Coturnix japonica: one gene and its partners. The protein of the gene in region 7 purifies or fractionates together with the protein of the main gene of each other region. This does not show direct contact. Links are inferred from orthologs where the notes say so. Each region holds a gene or a part of one and is shown on either strand. Other genes may lie near its edges.

Region 1 (3,500 bases), on a different chromosome or scaffold from region 7:
TTTGTCTAATCCTGCTTTAGTAGACAAACGCTTTACCAGATGCCATAGAGGATGACTTAATTACCTTGCAAAGTTGTCATCAGAACCAGGAGCAAGAGGTGCAACAGCAGAAGCTGAATCTGAAAATACATCCACCAGCAGGCTACCACTAGAGGAAGGTGGGGGAGCTGAATTGGTGAGAGGGGCTGCACCCAGACCCAGCAGATCCGCAGATGGAGAAGGAGTAGTCTAGGGAAGACAAGATACGTAGAGATCAGATCTTAACATATATAAATTTGCTCAAGTAGAACAAATCCAGTGACTGGGAGGCAGAATCATGCACTGTTAATAAAACAAAGGTTTCATACATGCACAAGTCATGTGCAAGAGCAAAGCAGAGACTGATTGTTAAATAAAGTGATCATGCATTAGATATTAGCACCCTGCATTATGCCAGATATTCTAAGGATGCAAGAGACAATGAGACAAGAACAAAATTTCACGCCTAATTCAAATACAATACAACTCAACATTTTCTTATACACCAAAGGCTGACTTCAATGCAGGATAACAGAAAAATCCCTGGCCAAATTTCTTCAGAAATTGATCAGCAAGATCTGCTCAAAGCAATGAGATGAACTCTGAGTTCATCTTCAGCCATCCAAGCTAAGGTGACATCCAAAATGGTAATGAAGGTAACTTGGCAGAATTTCTTACACTGCTGCAATTCAAAGTGAAGCTTGTAAGGCAGAATACAATTTTAAATACCAGATACATCAGCCAATTTGGCACATAAAGAATGCTTGGCACCTAAAGATATACCTGTCAATTCAAACATAACTCATCTGGAATGTATACCCATACCTATTGTAAGAGTTAAACGAGTAAGCTGTAAGAGAGGGAGCATGCTAAAATGCTACTGCATCTCAACTGTACTTATAAGCATAATCTGTAACTTGAACAGCAACAAGTATTATGTCATGGGAATCATTCACTTGACCAACCTTAATTGACATTAAAATGAGGTGGTTCAGCACAGAAAAAAATATGAAGACTTGTGTACCATAACTGAACAGAAATAGGACCATCAAATAAAGAGCAATTATTAAGGACATCCCTGTCAAGTACTGTCCGCTACTAGAAAAAACAACAGTGACCCACAACTAGATGCAGAAGTAGGCATGTTAGACAACGTAGAAGAACAGCTGACTTTACTGAAGTTACTTTAAAAGGAATAAATTCAATTTCAAACACCTCACCATCCCTACATCTCCATCAGCAATGAAATTTTCATTTCTAAGACTAGGGCAATACTTCTCAAAATAACAACAAAGAAGGGACACTACTGTATAGCAAACATTCATAGTTTGAAATTCGAGACAAGAAGGTTAAAGGCCCTAAAAAGCCAAGGAAACCAGTCTTTCCTCACCTGCACACCCTCTGAGTTAGTGAAGTAAGAACAGATTTGAAACTCACAACAGCACTGGCATTGACAGATGCAGGTTCAGCACTTCCATTCATATCAGAGCTCCTCTCCTTTTTGATCTCTTCCAGGTCAGTAACTGTGCCTGGACCTTTCTTCTTCTTGAGTTTAGCCAAAATAGAAGATTCCCTCTCTGGAAAGGGAGGCATTTCCTCCAGCACTGTAGCCTTATTACAGGAAAAAAAAAAAAAAAGAAAAAAGTATACTAATTATATTTACAGAATAAGCCAAACCAACATCCCAGTCTTTGTCAAAAGACATCAAGGCAAAATAAATAAATAAATAAATAAAAATCACCTACACAGAAAATAGCTATGTATGTAGTCTGGTACACAGTGGTAGATAAGACTTGCCTTTAAAAGAAACTATATAAAGCTTTCTGAAGTCCTCCCAAAGTTGTTGCTTAGAAGAGCAGGAGTGTATTTTTAGGTGTTTGATAAAGTACACCTAAAAATAAATAAATGAAGAAGGAGGGAGGAGACTATAGCAAACCTCCACCAAGACCTGAAAGCACAGATTACCCAAGGATCTAGTCAGATATAGTTGTCTATTAGCTGTCTAGGCTGAGAGCACCATGCTCCGGCCAGATCTGAGTGCATCAGGCTAAAGCACCTGAAATTTCTAGAGACAAAATTTTCATGCCCACCAGTAAACAAGTAGATTTCACAGATCTTCTGAAATAGTTTGCAATTGTTTAACACCGGCATAAAAAAAAAAAATCTGTAAGGATTAAGTGAGGTCTTCCTTTTCTATTTGGTTTCAATTTATGCATTGCCTTTGACAAGTGTTCTTTAGGACACACTATCCCTCACTCATGCTCAGAGATGACGTTAATTTTTCAATAATCGTAAAGCTAAAGGACATGAAGACAACCAGACTGTTGTGTGGAGGAATACAAGTGGAAGAAATCACACAGTTTGAGAGTCTCTGAGGACCTGATCCAATAAATATATCTTTGAAAGGCTTACCAAATCTCTGAAAACCTATAATATTTTCATAAAGATACAAGTAGTGATCTACCTTACCAAGGAAGTAACACCTTTGATTTTAGTTTTAGGTTAAAGAGCTGGATTATATACACTAAGAGGAACCAGCATCCATTTTACAGATCTTTAATTCTGCATTAAGATTTTGGAGCAAACAGCTAAGATTTATTCAAGTTTACTTATTGAGAGAAGAAACGGCTAAAGTGTTCTGCATAATAAAAAGGGTTCTATACCTACCAATATATCAGTACTGGCAATAGTACTGAGCCTCAGATACTCAACAGCTCTCTGCTGCAGCTCAACATCTGCATTCTTTAGCTGACTGTCACTGCGCAACACATCTTGAATTGTAGTTTTGATTTCTGGAAACAGGTTCACAAACTTGATGTAGGTGGACAGAAGCAGAGCTCGGGTAGGAACACTACACAGATGAAACTTGGAATGTAGCAAGTTGAACTGGATGAGGGGGCTTGAAAAAGAGAAAGAAAAACAATTAGTTCAGATTCTGTTGACATGATAACCTCAATGATATTACTATCAAGAGCTGAATCATTTCTTAACTGACTTTTAGGATAAATAAATTATTTTTTTTTATAATTACTTCAATGAAATTAAAAGGTGTTTTACCTTGATCTTGGATCCCCTGCTATCAGATTACCAAACTCTCCCAAGATGTAGCCACCTACTTTTACGAGATTCTCATGGCATGCTGGAGCTTGAAGGGCCTGTAAGAACACAGTAGGAGTCCTTGATCTGTATTGTACTAAAAAATACATATATTTTTTCCCTTTTCCCATTTTTTTCCTCTGTCTTTCCCTTGTTTGGTTTCCCAGACAATTCCTGTACATTAGCAGGTAATGGCTGCATACTTCCAGGAGGATCACCAAGTTATTACTCAGTTTGGATTCCAGCAGCCAGAAAACTCAGGGGAAAAAAAACACTGTAAAAGACTTCTATTTTTACTAAGTTTCCAGGTAACGTAATTTCCTTATTAATCCACCCAATTATTCTCACCTCAAAAACAGTCTTTGCTGCGTACCCTTGAACATCAT
Region 2 (3,264 bases), on a different chromosome or scaffold from region 7:
GTGAGAAGGTGTGCCGCAACGGCACAGGACACATGTAAGGCGTTGTCGAGAAATCCGGAGCAGATGGGCTAGTGCCGCGGATCGGCATCGCGGAGAACCGGAAGTACCGGATGGAACGGAAGTAGACGGAATCGCTCACAAACCGCGCGACGCCGCGCCGTTCAAACCGGGCCGCCAGGCCGACGCACTTCCCGGTTCAGGCAGGATGTGACGTCACGGTGCGGGCGGGTCCCGCAGCCGCCATGACACGCCCCCTGTGCGGGCGGCCCCGCCCACGCCCGGCCCGACCGGCCGCTCTGCCCTCAGAGCCCCGACCTCCCTCCACCCGGCCCCATCCACCGCCCTCCCGGTACCGACCCCCCGGACTGCTGTCGCTCGTTTGCTATGGCCGCCGTCCCAGTTTGCCCTCGCGCGGGTCTTTATTTGCCGGAGATACAGCGGGCAATGCAGCGGCCGGGGGCGGCGGGACGACGGGAGGGATGGACGGTACCGACACCCCCCCCCCCATCCCAGCCCCCGTTCCCGCCTCGGGCCCGGCCCGTGAGCGCATCCCGGGGTGTCCGCGGGGATCTCTGAGCATCCCCGGGCTGCGGGGGGCGGGAGGGGGGGAGGCGGCGGGGGACGGACCGAGAGAGCGGCGGGGACCGGGAGGGGACGGGCTCCATGCAGGGCGCTGCCCCGCTCTCCGCTGGGGGCACGTAGAAAAGTGGGGCGCAGGCGGGGGGTGCGGGGGCCATGCCGGGGCTGTGGACACGGGGCCGCTCAGCCGCTCGGCTCGTTGGGGGTCTCGGCGGCAGCTGCGGCGTCCCCGGCCCCGTTACACGTGTCGGCGGCCGGGCTGGGAGCTGGCGGGGCCGCGGCGTCCGTGGCGGCGGCTGCGGCGGTGGTGGTGGTGGTAGTGGTGGTGGTAGTGGTGGTAGTAGCGGCGGTGGAAGCGGTGGTAGCGGTGGCTGCGGGGGCCGACTCCGTCTGCTCGGGCGCCCGCAGCCGCTTCATGAGCGTGGTCACTCGCACGGCTTTCTGCGGGGACGACAGCGCGTCAGGACCCCCCGGGGGGAAACTGAGGCACCGGGCTGCGCCCACCCACCTTCCACTTGGCCCTGGCGAAGTTCTTCTCGATCTGGGCGCAGACGCCGTCCTTGATGTTCTTGTCGGAGGCGGCGTTGCCAGAGATCCTGGGGGGAGGAAGGAGGTGGTGAGCGGCCCTCACTGCCTTCCCCAGACCCCCCCGTGCCACCGCAACCCCTCACCATTCATGAGAGATGGCCTCCTCTGCCGTGATCCGCTGGTCCTGCTCCACCTCCATCAGTCGTGTCACCAGCTCCTTGGCTGGGGTCAGGACGGTCAGCGCTGGGGGGACACACAGGGACCCCGTACCCACCTCCCCCCTCCTCAGGTACTATGTCTCACCAGCCTGTGAGATGTCATCCCAATAGGGTGGGTCGAACTCGTAGTCCCCAGCCAGGATTTTGCGGAAGAGGTTCTTGTCGTGGTTCTCATAGTCATCCTCATCTGCCTCCTCGTAGAAGGGGGGGTTCCCCGAGAGCCTGCAGGATGTGTGTTCAGTGCCCTCCTCCCACAACCCAGAGCACCCCAGCCCCAGCCCCACACTCACAGGATGTACATGATGACACCAATGGCCCAGCAGTCCACCGGCCGCCCGTACCGCTGCCGTCCCACCACCTCTGGAGCTACAGAACACAGGATGGTGGTAGGGGGACCTGTTCTGCTCTGGGGTCTCCAGACACCAAGTTCCCCCACTGGGAAACCCATCCCCCTGTACCCGATTTGCTCCTCCAGGGTGGCCATGCATGGTGCGTCCCAACAGGTCACCCGTGAGCAGCAGGAGGGACCCAGTGTGGGTAATTGGAATGATGGAGAGCAGGAGGAACCCATAGGGAGGAACCATGGATGGGTCCTTGAGGTGATAGGAAGCAGGAAGAACCCTTTGGGAGGAATCAGGATGGGTGCCTGGGGTGATGGGGAGCAGGAGGGACCCGTTGTGAGCATCCGATTGCTTCTCTGTGTGATGGGAAGTGGGAGTAACCCACCAGGGACACACAGGAACCCACAGAGAGCAGTCAGCAGCAGGGACCCGATGGGAGCTCTTAGGATGGGTGCTGGGGAGCAGGAGGGACCCCCAGGGTGCAGCCAGCATCAGCTGCAGGGTGATGTGAATGGGAGAGAACTGCCAGGAGCACCCAGGATGGGTCCCTGAGTGATGGACACTCATCAGAAGCAACCAGGGTCATCATGATGGACGCACTAGGAGGGCAGGGACCTGCCAGAATGCTGACCCTGAGACAGGCAGTCTGTGCCCCCCACCCCCTCTCTGTGCCTGCCCAGCTCGCCCTCACCCAGGTACTCAGGGGTGCCACAGGGCTCCTTGATGAGGCCGTTCTCCAGCTTGGCCAGGTGGAAGTCGCTGATGACGATCTTGGAGTTCTTCAGGCGGTTGTAGTACACCAGGTTCTCCAGCTGCCAGCACAGGGAATGTGAGCGTGACGGGGCTGCAAAAGCACCCATAGGTGCCTGGGCCCACCAGGGACCCCCAGCGCCCACCTTGAGGTTCCTGTGAACGATCTTGAGGGAGTGCAGGTACGCGACGGCCTCCAGCACCTGCCGGATGACGTTGCTGGTGTCCTTCTCTGAGTAGTAGCCCTGGTCCAGGATCCAGTCGAAAACCTCCCGGCCCGTGGCCCTGCCGGTGCCAAGAGCAGGCTGTGGTGGCCCCACAGCACGGCGCCCACCCTCCTCCTCACGCTATGCTTACAGCTCCAGGAAGATGAAGTACTCCTTGCGCGTGATGTAGACGTCCACCAGCTGCAGGATGTTGGGGTGCTTCACCCTGCGGCACCCATAGGACAGTGGTGGCAATGGATGGATGGAAGCATGGATGGGTGCTGCCTGACCACCCGTGGGGACTGACCCAACCCCCCCTCGGCCCCGGCACTCACATTTTCAGGATGATGATCTCATTCTTGGCTGCCTTCCTCACCTTGCGCCCGTCCCGCTTCAGGAACTTCTTGCAGGTGTACAGCTTGCCCGACGTCTTCTCCTTCGCCCGGAAGATTTCACAGAACTCCTCCCTTCAAGGAGGATAAGCAAGGGATAAGCAAAGGATTAGGAAAGCAGGGGGGTCAAGAAAAAGCCCTTTCCCTGCTACAGGGCCACATGGGCTCCTGGAGCATCCTGCAGGATGGCCCCTGTCCCTGCACAGAGCTCACGGCCGGATGGATGCTGCAGAACTATCAATACTGAGCT
Region 3 (3,500 bases), on a different chromosome or scaffold from region 7:
ATTAAGTAAAACGAGGATAATTGTCACTATTCTGAGCAAGCTTTTGTACCGCATGCAGAAAGCTTGGTCAAATTGCTACTTTCAGGTCTCACCTACTTCATGTGGAAGCCTATGTACAATTGCTGGCAAGATGAAAACCAATATATCTTGTCCTTGTAACAGCTTAACCCTGACGTTCAAAGCCACTGACGTAGCAGGGAAATGAATTGTTTTTTAAGGCAGAAAATACTCTTTCCCAGAACTATGAGCAAAGCACTTGTGTCTCCAGCATTCACTGTCGTGATGCAGAAGCACCTTAATCCTCCCCCAGCCCCTGCAGAGCTGAAGTACAGAAAGGCAAGGAAGAGAGAAACAGACCAAATCCTTGATGACAGGCTGGAAAAAACAAGTGCCTGCAAGTAGTAGGACAGGAAGGAGGAAACAGTTGCCCAAAGTGACTGAGAAAGACCATACAAATGTAAATATCCAGAAGAGCACATTGCAAAAGCTCAGATCTCAGGATTTAGATTGTTCATTGTGAGCTATAAGTGAACAACAGAATTCAAACTCATGCTTCTCCAAACACTGTCATCAAGCAACCGTCATAGATGTACCCAGTGCTGATGCATTAAAGCACAGCAAACAACTCAGAACGGCTCTATGATTCTGCAACCAAAGGTACACCAGGCAATTAGATTAAAATAAAATAATGAAATGTGTCATCTGTGTGTCCAATTTAACGTGTTTGAGTCAAATTCTGGGAATTTCACATGACACAACTCCTCCGGGCAGTCATAACAGAGAACACAATATAGAGCTGGCTGTGCCACCAAAACCAATTAAGTGCCAACTGAGTTTTCAACACATTTTCTATCAGCTTTAGAAGCCCTCCAACAACCTATGCTGCCACCGGGATATTCAGCACTTTCACTGTACTGTTGAAAACCTAAGACTGCAGACAGAAATAAAAAGCACAAGTCCCTGCAGGAGAACATCCTCATCCAACCTGATAAGAGTATGCTAAAAAAGCCTTGCCAAACAAGCTTCGAGTACAGAACAAGTAATCCTCTTATATCTGATTCTTTGCTGTGGCAACATTTGAGATGTCATAATTGTTCAATGGTGACCATTGAAACATCCTACTTGTTGTCTACTACATTCAAAAACTAATTTGGCATCAAATTGCAAACTCAAATATCAGATTGACACCTGTACACCCATCATGTTAATGCTGGGAGAGGAACAAGAAACGTGAGTACAGAGAATGGTACTTTGTTTTTCATCAATTTAAAGAAGCAGTACAGAATAAACCACGCTCCTGTGAAACAGCACAAAGTATTTTTCTCATATCTGACCAACCTCATTTGTCTTGACCAGCTATTTTTGTAGAGGTATATGGAGATTCCAATTAGAATGAGCACAGAAATATTCTGGCACACACATGTAGAACAAAGTTGAAGTAGTTCAGCACTACAAACATCGCCTCACCTGTATGATCTGCTGTAATAGTCACGATCATCATATCCTCTATCATATCCTCTGTCATAGTAATCCCGTCGCCGTGAGCTGCCACTACAAGTAATAAAAGAGAATTTCATTTAAGAAAACATAAAACATCAATTCTGTTTGCAGTGCAGTCAGTCAAGCATATCCCTTTTTAACTCACTTAAGTTACTGTCTTCCATTCTCACAGTTAAGGTGATGCTATGAGTGTTTCCCAGTGATGCAGATGGAAACAGAACTACTTAACACTGCTGTTTAAAATGCTTGATCTCTAAAGCAGCTACTTTCCTCTCTGTTCTGAAACCTCTCACCATTTTAAGGCAGGCACACAAGGAATTCTATGTGCCTGTACCCAACTCCTCATTCACTTCTTACTCCCAGAAAGCTTTTGGATGAATTTCTCCATCAAAAAAATAAACTTAGAGCCTCCATACAACACCAATACACAGCCAACAGCTCTGTAACCAGAAAATCTTGAGAAAACAACTGAGAATTGACTTGGGAAAACAACTCACATTCTTAGTAACTTTGTCAAATGTTTAATAGGGTAAACTGTAGCAAAGCTGCACAGTAGTATTTGTTGAGGGATGCTTGAAAACTAGAGCTTACAAAGCCACTGGTGTTTGAGAGCACACAGGGGAACATCCACTAATCAGAAACAACTTGAAATAATTTAGAACTTATCCAAAATTCTTACTGCAGACTTAAATGTGTAGACAGCTTATGTTTGGACTGCATAGCTATTGGACATAAGTTTCTGCTTACTGTAATCTAAACTGACCTCAGATCAGCCACTGAGAAATTGTTTTGTTGCTGTTATTTTGTCTTTTAAAATACAGGACACAATGTATCCTGACCCTTACACTTCCAGAGGAAAAAATGCCACAACAGTAACCTACTAAGTGGGTCTTCCCATGTAGATTCCAGGGGTAGGCGTGTGAGGTCTTTTTGTTATGGAAAAGTCTACCCGGATTCTTCTTCCATCCAACTCCATTCCATTGGCACGTTCCTTAGCCTAAACACAGATAAAATAGACTTAGCTGTAGGTATGAATTTTACTACCAACACAAATTCCTAACCACTGCTTGATGTATTAAGAAAAGCCCTAAGAGATCTCAGTTAAGGCAGTTCTGAATTTCACTTATGCCTCACACTTAATCACTGACCTAAACTCTAAGACATCCTAGGCCAGCTGGGTATAAGCTTCAGTAACTACTTTAACACAACTTATATTGCATGAAATGTCTGTGAGGAATGTAACTTACCCATGGTTTCACTCTTTCTGATATGATTGAGGAGAGCCTTTAAAAACGCTTCTACAAGTAATCTTAACTCCCTCAACATGGAACATCAAACAGCATAGAACCCCCCCTCTCCAAAGACATTCTAAAACTGTACCCTAACCTTGAATATAGTAATAACAAGCAAATCTGAAACTGTTTTTCTTTTTCCTGCCATGCAGGACAGCTTACATTCAAAGCTTCAGCTTAACACAGAAGTCTCTTGCCAAATTTAAGGGGTGGTGGGGGGAAAGTCACTCCAGACAATATGAAGTGGAATTTATGCAGAAGATGAGACTATTCACAGCACTATCCAGGCCAGGCCTGAGTGCAGAATTACACACTTAGCAAGCTCCTTTCCCTGGTCATTCTGTAGCGTTTGTAAGCATACATTCAGTAGTTTGTTGTTCAGTAGCGATATCATTTTAATTTAATGCCTGTCTGGCATTAAATTGGAAAGAAGATTTTCTCCTCCCTTTACATTTGAGGCACTAGAAGCAAACAGAATGCACGTTAATGCTTCCATAGGGCACCTGAGCATTTGAGAACGCTGAAGCACCAGTCTGGGGTACTCTGAACATTAATATTAAACAGAAGATCACACGTGAAGTTTGGAAAGAACATGCCTAATTAAGAGCAAAGAGAGCACGTGTTTCTATTTTCCTTTTCTTGTTGGCACAGTTCACACTAGAGTACGTTGATGTTTGCTTTTTGTGAATTATACGACAACTCAATCCA
Region 4 (3,500 bases), on a different chromosome or scaffold from region 7:
AATTTCCTATATTCTGGGTCTGTGAAGATAAAGTTTTGAATTCTGTTAGTACTATGCATGACAGAAATGGAATCTGTTTTCCACCGTGACATCAAGAAGATACACTTACCATCTTCAATGCTCCCAGCCTTGGTGTCTTTCTTTTTTAATTTCTTTTTTGAAATCTTCTGAAATGGAGCAAATTCAACCACTGCAGGGTACTCCAAACCTTAAAAGAGAACAACACTTAATTTTTATTTCAGGAAGCATTCATTGTATTCAAGTAAGGTTTTCCAAACCCTTCATGTCTGTGTTGGGTAGCTTTACTTGAAAGTGAAGATGAATGTTTCTAAAATCCCATCCTGAATTTCAAAGGACAATTTGCACGTGGCTGTATTTTGGATTACAAACAAAACACTTTAATACTTGAATCATTTAAACATTATTATTAGCTTCACTAGAGGGCACTTGCAATCTAAGCTTGGGCTTGGTACGTGCAAACAACCACACCAAACTGACCATCTGTCTCCTACATTACAGCAGAATGTCCAGGCTCTTATCGACAAATACAGGTGAGTACACACACTGTTAAGGGAAATCAGACTGAAAACACCTGAGGTTCTATCAAACATAAAAGCTCTCTGAAAAGTCAAGCCATACATATCTCAAATTGTGCAACCAAAATAGTGAGGATGTGGGTTTTGGTTTTGCTTTCTCAGAAGGGGAATGCACAGCACCGCTTTATCTCACAGAAACACAACAAAGATGCAGCCACTTGTGCTTGCAATGTTTTGGGTCAATGTTGTGTTGAATTGTGAAGCTCACCTAAGATAATGAATAGGATCCTGACAATGTACTGCTTGAGTTATGAGAATGCAGATGAAGTGTGCACACCATGCAGACAAATAAGACTGCCTGGACAAATACATTTTTCACTTCATTATCTTCCAATAACCAGATTTTGTTTTAGTGCACTTTTATGTAATCAACTGTATCTTAAGCAAAATAAATAAATAAATAAATAATAGCCTAATTATAAAAAATGAAATGAATTAATGTTCTAAAATGGCAATGTAGGCATGTATGTATTCACATGTAATAGCTTACAAATAGTCCAACCTTTATTATCAATGAAGACATAGCCATCAAAGCGATCTCTAAAAAGGAGGATGTCCTCAGGATTTCTAAAGTTAATGTATGCTCTTGAGTAGAGATGAGGATAAAGGCTGCAACAAGAAACAACGTCATTTTCTGTTATTTACTATTCTGTTCAGGCCTGGAAAAATGAAATAGATAGATCACACTGCCATTCTCATTCTCTCTGGGAAATGGCTAACTTAACCATGCATACTTATGTTTCTAAATACATATAAAAACTTCTATTACATCTGTATCTATCAACTCAGTGACTGAATTCCTGATACAGCTATGAAATTTATTCTGAACAGAGACAAATGTTTCTAGCTTGTTTTGTCTCCTTAAATTGCAGAGCATACATTTCCATTTTGCAGGATCAAAACTTTAAGTCTATTTGTTCGTGACTTGAGAGATGAGTAACAGCAGTGCTTTTGGGGAACCTCTTGGGCATGTTAGGAATGTCTTCCATTGCTGACGTAGTGGAAAGGAAGTAAAAGCTTTCAGTGAACTGGAAGTTGCTAAGCTATCACTGTATTCCCACATTAAAGAAAGATTAAATGACTTAATACTTGGCAAGGTAATATGCTGCATTCTGTACAAATAAACAAACTCCATTTGACACACGCATGAATATATATGTCTAATTGTGGAGAAAAAAAACTGAGAAAATCAAAAGCATTTTTTTTAGCACAAGAAAGAACAGGTACTTACCCAATATAATTCTGATCCTTCAAGAATTTATTGGCATTGGTTCCACTCTAAATATTAGCGTGCCAGATCAAAACCTCAGGGCTGGCACACCACCTCCACCGATGGAACTGTGGTAATGTAATGCATTACCACTCATCAGCTAAGTGTCAGGTGCACACTTAACTCTCACTCCCACACAATTACGATGTAAAAACATTTGGCTTAATCTGTTTTTAGTGATGTCTTCACGTTAATACATTTTTTTTTCCCCAGTATACTTGAATGTATTTGATTTGAATGTGAGCCCGTAATTTTAATATACCTGTGTTCACAGTACTGCTGCCATACAACTGCTGTTTTAAGATAAACTCACCAGCAGCAGAAGACAACCAGCACATATTTATTCACTATTTTGACATTCTGGGAAGGTAATAGCATTGAATGAACTGCAAGCAGGTATCACAGAAGCACAGGATGGCTCAGGCTGGCAGGACCCTCTGGGTCCCTCTGTCCTAACAGCTGCTCTAGCAGGGCCACCAAGAGCGGGGTGCCCAGGGCCATGGGGCTTCAGAAGATCTCCAGGGAGGGAGGCAACCACAGAAAGGCCTGATTGGGCACAGCTAGTGCTATGCTGTCGACACAAAACAGTGCTGAAAGATGCTACAGACATCAAGCATGCTTCCTTATCCACCACAGCCCACACAGATGCTACGTATCAGGGTACAGTCTGTTTGCAGGAAACATCTAGACAGCTCAACCAAATAAGCATGGTGACATATGGATGTGCTTGGCCACAGAGTTCTTCTGCACACCCTGCAGAGTTCTGTTACCAGATTTGCAAACCTCCAGTCTGCTCATGAAACACAAGGCATCTCCAGGAGCGTGTGGAATCATTAGCAACATGCAGTGCAGCTGAAACAAGCTAGCTTCCATCTCAGTGCTTTCAAAGCAAAGCAAAAAAAAAAATAAAAATAAAAACTTTAAAAAAAAAAAAAAAAAAAGATTAAATTTAACAGGTATGGTATGTACCATTAAAGGTATATATATACCATACATAAGGTATGTACCATTAAAAATAATATTAGAAAACAATAACAGTAGGAGTTGCAAGTGTCTGCAAAGATGGAAAGTTTACTGTGATGCCTCACAGTTGTGCTGGATGAGGAGCTCTAAGATATGGTTTAGTGGTTTGCTGTAGCTGCAGTAATGGGAAGATGGTTGGACTAGATGATCTTGTAGGTCCTTTCCAACCTTGTGATTCTATGATTCTATGAAAAAGTCCTCTGTGCTGCATGACTGCAACAGCAATGAAGTCTGCTAAGCGGTGGCTCCCAGGAAGGAACAAACCTCTGTCACTTCAACAAGACTATTCTTATCTTACACTCCATATGTTCTTCAAAGTTAAAATGAAATGAGAGCTGATATTAGAGACTGATATGATTATAGTCTAGAAGTACTGAAGATTCACCAGGAAAAAACAACCTTGAGGGTCCAGCCTGATCATAGAATGCTTTGAGTTGGAAGGGACCTTTAAGATCACCTAGTTCCAAATCCCCTGCTATAGGCAGGGACACCTCCCTCTAGACCAGTCTGCTCAAAGCCCCATCCAGCCTGGCCTTGAACGCTTCTAGGGAGGGGGCATCCACAGCCTCACTGTGCAGCCTGTTCCAGTGTCTCACCACTCTAACTATCAA
Region 5 (3,500 bases), on a different chromosome or scaffold from region 7:
TGAGTCTTCACAGGTAAGAAATCCTACAGAAGCCAATGTCTAATTAGCATGGCCTTGAAAATCCCATCTCTCTTCATCCATGTTTTGGTGTATTCCTTAGTATGAACTGTTGTTTGGGAACTCAATACTAGCACGGAGAGTATGTGCAAAAGTGTATTGTACCTGAAGGTGACTGGTGTGTCCTGATGTAGGGCCTTTAGAGAATGCTGATAAAACTATAGGTTTCAAAGCCCCAGTTTCTCATCTGTCCTTCCAGAAGAGAAGTCGTAATGCAGAGAGAAATAAAGATGCATAATCACCCTAACAGCTGTTATTTCCCTGTTGTTAAATAACTCTCTATGAAGAACAGCAAAAATAGAGAAGCTCAGTTCTTGACTTCCTTTGCTTAAGGGTATACTTTTGATTATTGTTTTTTGGTTCTCTAGGTGGATAGTGGTGCTGACTCAGAGCCTGGTGTGCTGATGAGTGCACAAACTATCACGTCTGAAACCACCAGCACTACAACCACTACACATATCACCAAAGTGAGTCCTCTGGAAATGGAAAGCTTTTTTTTTTTTTTTTTTTTTTTTTTCTGAAGGAAAAATGTGTTTTCTTAGCTTCTGTTGTTTTAAAGCAGAGTCACATGCTTATAAGCTCAAACAAAATCCTGTCTGTTTTGGCTTTCACCTGTCTTTGGGTATACTAGCTTGATTAAGGTCAAGTGCACAGTGCTGCACTTGGATCGGGGAATCCTAGGTATTTATACAAACTGGGGGAAGATCTCCTTGAGAGCAGCCCTGTGGAGAAGGACTTGGGAGTCCTGGTGGATGAGAAGCTGGACATGAGCCAGCAGTGTGCGCTTGCAGCCCACAAGGCCAACTGTGCTCTGGGTTGCATTAAAAAAGGGGTGGCCAGCAGGGAGAGGGAGGTGATTGTCCCCAACTACTCAGCACTTGTGAGGCCCCATCTGATGTACTGTGTCCAGGCCTGGGGCCTCCAGTACTGGAAGGACTTGGAGCTCTTGGAGCCGGTCCAGAGGAGGGCCACTAAGATGATCAGAGGGCTGGGGCACCTCTCCTGCAAGGAAAGGTTGAGGGAACTGGGCTTGTTTAGCTTGGAGAAGAGAAGGCTCCAGGGACTGTTTACATGGGTTGATATGATAGGACAAGGGGGAATGGTTTTAAACTGAGATGGGGAGGTTTAGGTTAGATTTTAGGTGGATGTTTTTCACACAGAGGGTGGTGAAGCACTGGAACAGGTTGCCCAAGGAGGTTGTGGATGCCCCATCCCTGGAGGCATTCAAGGCCAGGCTGGATGTGGCACTGGGCAGCCTGGTCTAGTGGATGGTGACACTGCACACAGCAGGGGAATTGAAATTGGATGATCATTGTGGTCCTCTCCAACTCAGGCCATTCTATGATTAACCTATCACCCAAGGACTTAAGAGTGGTCTGAAAAGAATAAACCCTTCAGGTATGTCTACACTACTGTGCAGATACATTTGAATTAGCAGCAAATACTTTCTTAATCAGGGACCAATGTAGCCAAGTTGTCATCAAATGATTCCAAGGAAGGAATGATTTTTCTCAGCATGAGATTGTCAGGACCATACTGCTTTTGAGTCCTGCACTATTTGGTCTGCACAGTTTTGAAATGGTTGTAAATCTGTATCGTATAGTCATAATGGAACATTCAGTCAGCTTAGACACTGAGTTGTTGTAGTGTTGTTGTGCTGTAAGGAGCTAGCAGAAACCCTATTTGTACAGTGACAGCTTTCTTACTAGTATTCAGTGAAGACTGCATTTCATCCTTCTGCAGTGCAATTCACCCTTCAGTAGATGAGCTTTACAAGGGCTGTACAGCCTCTCTGTTCTTCTAAAGCCTGCAGTGTGTCTTACCTAGGTTTTAATATGAGCTCTCTGTCTGTATGACCATTCTTCTTTTCATGGGATGAATTTACCACTAATACCTGTCATTTTTGACCTACCCCAAATATCTTTCTGGATGTGTGCAGGCTGGTTAAAATCACATCATCATCTTTGTCAGAAGGAACTCTGGAGAGGTCCAACCCCCCCATTCTGAGCAAGCTCCAATTGCAGTATGGGGCTGTCATCTGTGTGTGTCCAAAGTTGGTTTAGTCGGATCACATCTGAATGTGTGATAGTCCTGCAAATGGGTTGCAACACTCTTTAAAGCAAGCTACTGACATGTATTTATCATTCTCATTTAGACTGTGAAAGGAGGCATCTCAGAAACAAGAATCGAAAAACGAATAGTCATCACAGGAGATGCAGATATCGACCATGATCAGGTAAAATCTCTAAGCTGTTTAAGGCTACCCTGAAGGCTGAAAAACAGAACATTACTAAACATTGTTTTAAAAGATACTGTTCAAACCGACATGCCTTAAATTAAACTGAACTAGTAGTTAAGTCAGTGATGGTATATTTCATATTTTAATCATTTTCCTCATTTGTAAACTGTGTAATATCTCATGAATCTCTCCACCTTGCTACTGATCATGCATGTTCCACCTCCTTTTTGTTTTTGCCCTTCTGTGGTTTCCTTGGGATAGGCGCTGGCTCAGGCAATTAAAGAAGCCAAAGAGCAGCACCCTGACATGTCAGTGACCAAAGTAGTGGTACATAAAGAGACAGAAATCACACCAGAAGATGGGGAGGATTGACCGCAGGTAAGTAGACTAGATGATTTTCCCAGGCATTTACTGGGCTGGCATGTTGCAAAGGTTGTTTTCCTACCATAATTCACCTCTAACTCCACTTTCTCTCTATGACATTTGCAAGTTGCATTTATGCTGTTTATCAGTTCTGATGTTTGAATGCAAAGCCCATTCAGCTCTGAATGTCTTCATTTAACAGTGCCAGCTGGAGCAACAGAAACCACTCATTTGCTTTTGTTGGCTCTCTGCAAATTCCTCATTGTCCATGCTTTGATACAGTCTAATTTCTAATCCTGAAGTCAAAAAAACTCTTTTGTCTGCTTCTATGTCATTTAAGAATAAACTTTTGTTCTTAAAGAACAATAAAAGAACCAGTTAAGAACAATTAAATATCATTTAAGAACAAACTTTTGTTCTTAAAGGTATGCATTTTGTTTAAAAAATGCCAAGGGTAAAACCTATAGCTGCTTTTTCAGTGTTCTGTGCGGATATGTTACAAGTTAAGCTTTATTCCAAACTTGCAAAGGTATGGCCTAACTTGCTTTTGATTTTTGTTTTGAACCCAGTGAGCTCAGTGTGTCAGCATTTGGATGTCTTGGCTTTCTTGTATTTCAAAGGACATATTATGTTTTAAAGCAGCATTGTTTATCAGGATGAGATGATGATGCAGCTTTCTTGTGTTGAGCTTTGTTTATTTTCCATAAAGGCATGCTCTCCAATTGTGGTTGGCCAAACAGACATCTTAATATTCCTATATTTGCTCTATGCGCAGAAACATGTCATGCATACTAACCTGCTACCTAAAAGCTGCTAATGCCGGCACCATTGCACAAATTGC
Region 6 (4,043 bases), about 1.2 Mb from region 7:
CTCTGCTGGGAACCCACGTGTCAAACCCCAGCTTGTGAAATAACACAATAAAGTCCTATAAACAAGGAGTGCAGTTAAAAAAAATCTGGTTAAGTGGATGGACAACATAAAAAGTCACAGCATTTAGAGACAAACAGCGTTATTCATCTCCATCCTGCAATTAAGTAACACAGTAATTACCAAAGTCGTATACTGTTTTCTTTTGAAAGCTGGATTCTTACTCCACAAGATCTCGTTGTTACCACGTCACCTCCTGCTCTCACAGAGAACATCTGAGCCAATCCTCTGAACCTTGGCCAGCTGTATCCCCAGAGGGCACCAGTGAAGGAAGCTGTCCCAACTGTTTGAAACCAGTCAGGCAGAGCAACATACTACTCACACCAACAAACTAAAGACAAAGCTGGCCTGAACTGTAACCTGCCATTATATGCTCACCCTTTATGATTAAAAAGCTGAAATCCCACTGGGAGAATACCACCTGGTTTAAAAAAGGAGACTAAAAGCTCTGAGGATTGAGGGTTACTGCAGCTGAAGATGCAGTGAGCTGCAGCACCCTGGACAGCAAGCTGGCTCCTGTAGGCCACGATCCCGTGACCCCCACAGGACAAGCTTCACATCCTAACCACCATAAGCTGTCAAAACAGAAATAACCTTGCAACCTCCCATCGATTGTGATAGAAAAAGCAGTGTGAATGAATTCAGAATACACCTGACTATTGTGGATCCAAAGACAGCATGGAAACTGAAATGAAAATTGCTGGCTATCCCTGGTGTAAGGGAAATCTGATGTTTTCCAGGCTGCATCTCCTCAAAGGTACTTTGGGTGGCACAGAGGAGCCCTTGAGAGCTGTGCCAACGTTTGCCTTACCAAAATTCCTTATTCCAAAGGAATACTTACTGTTCCTGCCAGGATATCATGAGGACAGCAATCCAGGAGGTGGCTCTTGCAGACACGATCGTCTGTAAACTTCACCCTTTGCCTGGTTTCATCTCCTGAAATTCATTTGTGGTTTTAAATAAGGAGACATTAGAATACCGATAAGGAACAGAAATGTCAGCATGATCATTTCAATATGCAGATTAAAATACTTGGTGCTCCCCAGAATTACTTGGAGGGTGACAGGATAATCTGAAAAACTCATAATTGGCAGCAAATACCATTTTTGCATTTATTCATTGTACACCATGTTAAACACAGTGTTGGAAAGCCAAGTAACGTCCAAAGCCTGTCATCCATATAAAGAGACTGCACAGCCCAAAGAGGAAAAGGAGACAGACAGTCGGCTCAGAGCCAACACTTTTGGTTGTTCTATCCCCCCTTTTATTTTGCCATAACGAAAGGGCAGGAGATACTGGAACCCAAGCAAGCAGAGGGCCATGAATCACAACATAAGGCTGTGCTGGGCAGTTGGGTTTGGTTTTATACTTTTATAAGCAACTTCTATTTGCTAATCTGATGATTAAGACATCGGTCCATTTGGTCTCAATACCAAGTCTGCAGCGTGTTTTCCAAGGCCGTGAAATGCTGCATCTCGTAGGTCTCGGCCCGGAGCACGTAGCGTAGTTCCCACCCTCCTCCCGCCCTCAGGAGACATTTTACATTCAGGAGCCACTTAAACAAGACAATATCAGAAAAGCAGAAAATAAAATAAAATAAAATAAAATAATAAAAAAAAGAAACAAAGTTAGTCAATACACACTGCGAGCTCCAACATATACTATACCCATCTGCATTCTTCAAGACCTCAGCTGCAGAATTTTATGCCCACTGTTGAAAAGTTTTAAAGGAAAAGCTTTCTTGCCCACACCTGCAGTAAGGAAGTCAGGGGAACGATACATGAAAGTAAAGGCAAAGTGGTAATGGAACGTGACAATTTTAAAGCGAAGCTGTGTATACATGACACAGGCGTGTCATCATAGGAATAGGGTTTGCAAGCATCCAGGAATTGTGTCTATTCCAAATGGTTTTTCTTGCTTTCTAAGCTACGCTTTTAAAGTTACTGCTGGGGAGGGGGGAAAAAAAGAAAAAGCAAACACTTTTTTGGGGTTTTTTTTTCTTTTTTCTTTTCTTTTTTGTTTTTTTTTCTTTTAATTTTTGTTATAACAGCTTTAAAAATCGGTTGTGACTCACGGCTCGATGAACATGAGGCTTTTCTGCAACTCCCTTGCAGATTGATGTAGGCAGGCAAAGATACACTGAACCTTTATGAATAAAATAGAGGGGCCACCATTGTTCAGTTTGTATGAAATAAAATATATGGGAAGCAATTCAACAGCAACTCAACACACACAAAAAAATAAAAGAGAGAGAGAAAGGCACTTCATTCACTTAACGAAACAAAGTGCAAAAGGACCTGAGCAAACCCCGCTACGAGGCGGGTATTGGAGAGCTCGGGCCCACACGAACCGCATTAAGGCCGGACCGTAAGGCCGGACAGTACGACCTACCTACGGCTCCGACCCGACGGGGCTCGGCGGGGCAGGGCGATGCGGCCCACCCCACACACACACCCCGCGGATCCACACAGCGACAGCCCGTAGGCCGCGGGTGGAGCCGGACCGGGCCCCGCTGGGCAGCCAGGCCGCGGATCCTGCAGGCCCCGCCCGCCCCTACTCACCGTCCCGGGCCGTGCCCATCAGCTGGTCCAGCAGGGCCCGCATCTGCGCCTGAGCCGACATGGCGGCTACGGGGCTGCGGGACGGACGGAGGAGGAGGAGGAAGGAGAGCGGCGGCGGCGGCGGCGGCTTCAACCGCGGCTCCGGGCTCGGCCTCGGCGGCGGCGACGCACGACGGGCGCTGGGCGGAAGCGGCCCCTCCCGGCGGCGCGGAGCATGACGGGATGTGTAGTCCTGAGAGGGTCGGGAGGGAGTATGGACCGGGCCGAGCCGGGCTGGGCGGGACCAGAGTGGGCCAGGACCTGGAAATGCCTGACAGGACGGGATGTGCCAGTCCATGATGGGCCGTGCTGAGTTATGTTGGACCACTGCGTCATACACTGAACCTGGACTGTACCAGGCCATACTGACTCATGCTGGACCACTGGGTCATACACTGAACGAGCTGTACCAGGCCGTGCTGAGCCATGTTGGACCACTGCGTCATACAATGAACCTGAGCTGTACCAGGCCGTGCTGGGCTGTACCAGGCCAGGCTGTGCCAATCCCTGATGGGCCATACTGAGTTATGTTGGACCACTGCGTCATACACTGAACCTGGACTGGTACCAGGCCATACTGAGCCATGTTGGACCCTTTCATCTCGCACCAACCTGTGCCAGGCCTCACTGAGCTGCACTGTGCTGTGCCAGGCTCTACCAGGACAAACGAGGCCAGGTTGGGCCTCACCAACCCCTGTTGTTTCAGGCAGGGCTGTGCCAGTCCATCAGGCAGCACTGAGAACTGCCAGCTCTGCCATACCAACCCATGTCAGGCTGTGCTGAGCTGTGTCAGACCCTTTGTAGCTGCACCAACATGAGCCAGGCCCTTCTGTGCCATATCAAGCCCAGTCAGGCTGTGTTGGAGCAAGCCCTGCCTGGCTGTGCCAATCCCTGCCCAGCCATACTGAGCAATGCCAGGTTGTGCTGTACCAACCTGTGCCAGGCTGTGCTGAACCATGTCAGGCCCCTTTGAGCTGTACCAACCTGTATGTGGGATTCCCCTGCAAGGAGTGATGAAGAAAGGGAATGGCTTCATTGTGTGAAAGGTGGAAAACAGGACTAGGCAAAGGTCTGGTTACGGTTTTCTGCCTGGAAATCCTGTTTACCCTTTTGGTGCATGGCCTGCAGTGGTTGTGTCGCTGGGGAACAGATAAACCTGGCTCTGTCCCTTCCAGCCATGGAGGCTAATGCCAACGCTGTGCCAAGCTGTGCCAGGCTGTGCATCACAGGCAGCAGTGGCAGTGGGTGACATCAGGTGGCAGATCGAAGGCTGCCCGTGGCTTATCAGCTCCTGCTGGCCGTGTTTGCCCAGCAGTGCCTGGGCGGGACCTGCTGCCCCCCCCCCCAGGGCTGCCAACAGGAGTGTGTGGGGAGGGATGGCAGCAC
Region 7 (3,991 bases):
TACCATTACAGGCAGTAACAAATACATGTTTTCAGAGCCACCTTTTGCTGACTTCCACACGGCTCAGATTTACACAACCTTTGAATTGCATTGGTCACAATGGAAAGATTAAAGGAAGGGGTTTTGACCGTTGTGAAGTATGGTGGAATTAGTGAGCTATGGAGAGTCGGTTTTCATTGCTGTAACTTGCAGTTGCTTTCTGTCTACCAGGAGAAGAGCTTCAGCCATTCTTTTTCTGGGTATTCCACTCATGTTTTGCTTCCTTTACCAGGTCCCGCTCCAGCTCCACTTCCAGCTCAGGATCCAGTTCCAGCACTGGTTCCAGCAGTGGCTCGAGCTCCTCTTCTGCCTCAAGCCGCTCTGGGAGCTCCAGCACCTCACGCAGTTCAAGTTCCAGCAGCTCCTCTGGATCCCCCAGTCCGTCCCGACGGAGACATGACAACAGGAGGCGGTCCCGCTCCAAGTGAGTTCATGTTGTCTTTAGGAATTCCTACAGAGCAGGTTCCTTGTGCAATACAAGGTTGTGATCAAACAGATTTTTACCAAGGATGGTCTGCATTCTCCGTAACTTAGAGATGTGAATTTTGTTAGAACAGGCATGTTTCTATTAATGGCAGTCAAAATGGATGCCAGCTTCTAGTTCTTGTCGTCTTGTTTCCCCTGAAAACTGTGAATGTTTTCATGTCCAAATCAGGTCCAAGCCACCGAAGAGAGATGAAAAGGAGCGGAAGCGGCGCAGCCCATCACCCAGACCTACAAAAGTGCACGTTGGGAGGCTCACTAGAAACGTCACCAAGGTAATGGCATGTTCTCCTGTAATGCCACGCAGGTGCACCCCTGTGGGCGTGTGTTGGTGGCTTTTTTTAAAGCCTTCAAGGTTTGTTTTGTTGCTGGTGTACTGCCAGCACATTGCTGTTGGAAATGCTTGCTTTGTGTCCAAACTGATGAGCGTGGAATGCTTCAGTAGAACTTCCTCAAGTCAAATTAACTGTGGGCTTGTGTAATTCAGTAGTGTTAAAAGTTCTGTCTGCCTTATTGGTACCCGAGAGCTCCACCTTCCTAGGAAGAAAGCTGTAGAAGTCAGTACAGCAGTAGAAATCACCTGGGAGGCATTAAGGACACCTGGGGGGTTCACCAAAAGGAGCTTCAGGAGAGCTGGACTGGCTGGAGTTGTCTTTGCTAGAATGTAGTTTAAAGGTCTGCAGAAATACAAGTTTAGGGTGCTGAAAAAATGCTATTTAAAAACACAATATTAAGAATTGCACCTTAAGACTTTCTAAGTGAGGACACAACTTCACTTTCCTAAGGTCCCCAGGAAGGTTTTTACACTAGTGCAGCTTTTGTAGCCTGTGGTGGTGTTCAGCCAGTAATTCTGTTAAGGATTAGAGTGATCTGAAGTGAAACAGACATAGATGTCAGTAGAGGATGTGGTAATCTCAGTGTCCTTTCCACACCTGATCAGTGGAATATATCTCCTGCAGGTGGCATTGATTCAAAGCTGATGTGGTGCTGTGTGCTCTGTACCAGCCAGAGCTGCTCAGTGATAGTGCTGTACATCCTTAAGTTCTGCTCTTTTTTGGCAGGATCACATCATGGAAATTTTTTCCACTTATGGAAAGATTAAAATGATTGACATGCCAGTTGACAGGCTAAATCCACACCTCTCTAAAGGCTACGCTTATGTGGAGTTTGAGAACCCAGATGATGCTGAGAAAGCCCTGAAACACATGGATGGAGGTAGGTGTCAAATGCTGCAAGGAGGCTGAGTGCTTTGAAAGAAGTTTTTGGATTTGATGTGAAAATGAGATGGAGATGATGGGCTGCCTTTTGGGGAACTGATCTGACGTGCTGTCATTCTGTTTTCAGCCCAGAGGGGCTTTTGTATGGTCTCAGGACAGGTTGAAAAGAAAATACAGAACTATTAAAATGATAGTTTTGTTTTTTTTTTCCAAACAAAATATCATTTAAATCTTTGTGAAAATCCTTCCTGATCCATGTCTGGTGGGATACTTGGTGAAGAAGTCTGGTGTGTGTGTGGTTTGGTCAGTATAACTTCAGAGTGTAGTGGAAATAGGAGCACGGGGTCGTGCTGCTTGTGTCAGAGCTGTGAATCGCTGTCACTTGGTTTGTTGGTGCTGGCAAACACTAACTTTATTTTTGTGACTTTCTGAACAGGGCAGATCGATGGGCAGGAGATCACTGCCACAGCTGTACTGGCACCACGGCCCAGACCGCCGCCTCGGCGCTTCAGCCCCCCCAGGAGGATGCTGCCCCCACCCCCCATGTGGCGCAGGTCACCCCCTCGCATGAGGAGAAGGTGAGAGCTGTGGCATTTCTTATTTCCTTCTTGTTGTAACAAGAATTTGTCATGAAGTCCCAGTGCCAGGACAGCTTCGTCTCATTGGAGTTGATTGTCCACTCCAAATGACAGTTCAAAACAAAGCAGTCACCTTCTGGGTGTCAGTTGAACTCAGATTGTTCTTAATATTCCATTCCTGGGACCTTGGTGTCACACTGGTGGCTGTACAGACTAATTGTAGCACTTTATCTTTAGAGCTGAGCTTCCTGTGAGAAGTGTCTGTGGTGCTGTGTGAGCTGTGTCAATACTGAACAATATTTCAGGAGCCAAAGTCTCAGATGAACCTTTCAGATCGAGGAGAGTCTGACTTAGAACAAACTTGTTTGTTTTGTGTGAAGCAGAAAATAAGATTCTTGTCTATTCTTTGGATATGAAGCAGCCTTTCAAGCTGTGAAGCAGAGGGTGGTAGCTAGAAAATCCCTGCTGGGATCTTGCTGTTTAAGTTGCCCTTTTGCTTCCTGCGGTTTGCTGTCTGTCGGATCTTTCACAGTGGTTTATAAGGGGGCGAAAGGAATCAATGAGCAGAGGTGGCAGGTGAGGTGACCTTCCTGGAGCTGCTCCCTGTGCCCTGACAGGAACTTTCTCCTCCTCCTGCCAGGTCTCGCTCCCCGCGCCGCAGGTCTCCTGTTCGCCGGCGCTCGCGGTCCAGGTCTCCGGGACGAAGGCGCCACCGCAGCCGCTCCAGCTCCAACTCGTCACGATAAAGCAAAAAAAGAATGGACAGCTTTTTATTTTTTAACTTAAATTCCGCGAAAATAAATATTGTACCTTTTTTATAATGGGTCTAGGAGAGGAAGGGAGAGAGGGGGAGAGAGAGGATGCAGTGGAGGTAACAGAGAGGAGACGGCAGCAGCTCCCGGCCATTGGGCAGCCTCTGCTGCGGGGCTTGGAAGTTTCCTGGCATTGAATTGGCATTATTGACAAACAGCCTCGATTTTTATGTTTTAGTTTTGTTTTTTCCCGGCTATAAACCCACCGTGTCCTGTGCTGGTTGTGCGGGGCTGCTCTGGCCCCTTTGTCCAGTGAGTTCACAATGCTTTGTGTGCTGTAAGGGTGAGCGTATCGATCTCGAGCTGTTTGGAAACGCTGCAGAACGGGACAGGGAGCCTCAGGGCTGGGACTGAGCGGCTCGAACAGATCACAAACCTGATCACAGACCTGATCCTTGAGCTGCTGCTTTATTCCCAGTCCCAAATAATGAGTCGTTTGTGCCCATTGATGTCCTGCAGTGCTCCTGGTTGATGCTGCACCCTGCTGAACGCTGCGAATCTTACCAGCGGGTTTGTAGCTGCTGCCCCACTCGGTCCCATAAGGAAACAATGCGATTGTTCTGCTTTACAAATCCCATTAGCAACTGATGGGCAACCACTGCAAGGCAGAGGGGGGGCTTGAGGCCGTGCTGCTGCCTGGGGAAAGGCAGAGAACCAACCACCTGTTGTACAGTCGATCCTATAAAGTCTTTTTGTTGTTTTTTCTTTATTTTCGTGTCGTTTTGTATGACTTTGTAGCCTTCGGGGCCGCGTTGTGTTTGTACTTGTGTAGGACGAGCGACTCGAATAAAGCAGTAGGGTTGAGAAATCGGGGCTCCTGCGCCTTTAAGAGCACAGTGGGCGGGGCTTCTTGCGGCTCCGC

Evidence for each region.
Region 1: the proteins of RNPS1 (region 7) and AP2A2 purify together in Homo sapiens (co-immunoprecipitation; 3 studies listed by BioGRID and IntAct, with this or other methods). This does not show direct contact. The link is inferred for Coturnix japonica from reciprocal best matches to the Homo sapiens genes RNPS1 and AP2A2.
Region 2: the proteins of RNPS1 (region 7) and CAMKV purify together in Homo sapiens (affinity purification with mass spectrometry; 3 studies listed by BioGRID and IntAct, counting the BioPlex papers as one, with this or other methods). This does not show direct contact. The link is inferred for Coturnix japonica from reciprocal best matches to the Homo sapiens genes RNPS1 and CAMKV.
Region 3: the proteins of RNPS1 (region 7) and TRA2B purify together in Homo sapiens (affinity purification with western blotting; 3 studies listed by BioGRID and IntAct, with this or other methods). This does not show direct contact. The link is inferred for Coturnix japonica from reciprocal best matches to the Homo sapiens genes RNPS1 and TRA2B.
Region 4: the proteins of RNPS1 (region 7) and UPF3A purify together in Homo sapiens (co-immunoprecipitation; 4 studies listed by BioGRID and IntAct, with this or other methods). This does not show direct contact. The link is inferred for Coturnix japonica from reciprocal best matches to the Homo sapiens genes RNPS1 and UPF3A.
Region 5: the proteins of RNPS1 (region 7) and EPB41L3 purify together in Homo sapiens (co-immunoprecipitation; 3 studies listed by BioGRID and IntAct, with this or other methods). This does not show direct contact. The link is inferred for Coturnix japonica from reciprocal best matches to the Homo sapiens genes RNPS1 and EPB41L3.
Region 6: the proteins of RNPS1 (region 7) and LUC7L purify together in Homo sapiens (affinity purification with mass spectrometry; 3 studies listed by BioGRID and IntAct, counting the BioPlex papers as one, with this or other methods). This does not show direct contact. The link is inferred for Coturnix japonica from reciprocal best matches to the Homo sapiens genes RNPS1 and LUC7L.

The regions. Positions count from the first base shown.
Region 1 is NC_029520.1:9,470,427-9,473,926, reverse strand, and holds part of AP2A2 (AP-2 complex subunit alpha-2), read right to left. Parts: coding exon 3,463-3,500; intron 3,174-3,462; coding exon 3,076-3,173; intron 2,918-3,075; coding exon 2,686-2,917; intron 1,630-2,685; coding exon 1,456-1,629; intron 229-1,455; coding exon 65-228; intron 1-64. UniProt on the Homo sapiens protein: Component of the adaptor protein complex 2 (AP-2). Adaptor protein complexes function in protein transport via transport vesicles in different membrane traffic pathways.
Region 2 is NC_029527.1:1,482,003-1,485,266, forward strand, and holds the end of CAMKV (caM kinase-like vesicle-associated protein), read right to left. Parts: intron 3,090-3,264; coding exon 2,958-3,089; intron 2,849-2,957; coding exon 2,774-2,848; intron 2,702-2,773; coding exon 2,563-2,701; intron 2,479-2,562; coding exon 2,358-2,478; intron 1,692-2,357; coding exon 1,616-1,691; intron 1,548-1,615; coding exon 1,411-1,547; intron 1,330-1,410; coding exon 1,251-1,329; intron 1,176-1,250; coding exon 1,088-1,175; intron 1,021-1,087; coding exon 763-1,020; 3' UTR 501-762; downstream 1-500. Other genes in the region: E3 ubiquitin-protein ligase TRAIP, read right to left, coding at 1-88. UniProt on the Homo sapiens protein: Does not appear to have detectable kinase activity.
Region 3 is NC_029524.1:3,326,464-3,329,963, reverse strand, and holds part of TRA2B (transformer-2 protein homolog beta), read right to left. Parts: intron 2,498-3,500; coding exon 2,382-2,497; intron 1,552-2,381; coding exon 1,468-1,551; intron 1-1,467. UniProt on the Homo sapiens protein: Sequence-specific RNA-binding protein which participates in the control of pre-mRNA splicing. Can either activate or suppress exon inclusion. Acts additively with RBMX to promote exon 7 inclusion of the survival motor neuron SMN2.
Region 4 is NC_029516.1:123,392,521-123,396,020, forward strand, and holds part of UPF3A (regulator of nonsense transcripts 3A), read right to left. Parts: intron 1,206-3,500; coding exon 1,099-1,205; intron 209-1,098; coding exon 110-208; intron 20-109; coding exon 1-19. UniProt on the Homo sapiens protein: Involved in nonsense-mediated decay (NMD) of mRNAs containing premature stop codons by associating with the nuclear exon junction complex (EJC) and serving as link between the EJC core and NMD machinery.
Region 5 is NC_029517.1:90,380,595-90,384,094, forward strand, and holds part of EPB41L3 (band 4.1-like protein 3), read left to right. Parts: coding exon 1-13; intron 14-425; coding exon 426-524; intron 525-2,212; coding exon 2,213-2,293; intron 2,294-2,557; coding exon 2,558-2,668; 3' UTR 2,669-2,674; intron 2,675-3,500. UniProt on the Homo sapiens protein: Tumor suppressor that inhibits cell proliferation and promotes apoptosis. Modulates the activity of protein arginine N-methyltransferases, including PRMT3 and PRMT5.
Region 6 is NC_029529.1:10,852,063-10,856,105, forward strand, and holds the start of LUC7L (putative RNA-binding protein Luc7-like 1), read right to left. Parts: upstream 2,801-4,043; 5' UTR 2,680-2,800; coding exon 2,619-2,679; intron 2,203-2,618; exon of another isoform or gene 2,132-2,202; intron 1,613-2,131; exon of another isoform or gene 1,491-1,612; intron 994-1,490; coding exon 899-993; intron 1-898. UniProt on the Homo sapiens protein: May bind to RNA via its Arg/Ser-rich domain.
Region 7 is NC_029529.1:12,005,958-12,009,948, reverse strand, and holds the end of RNPS1 (RNA-binding protein with serine-rich domain 1), read left to right. Parts: intron 1-271; coding exon 272-463; intron 464-694; coding exon 695-797; intron 798-1,583; coding exon 1,584-1,737; intron 1,738-2,175; coding exon 2,176-2,317; intron 2,318-2,957; coding exon 2,958-3,063; 3' UTR 3,064-3,491; downstream 3,492-3,991. UniProt on the Homo sapiens protein: Part of pre- and post-splicing multiprotein mRNP complexes. Auxiliary component of the splicing-dependent multiprotein exon junction complex (EJC) deposited at splice junction on mRNAs.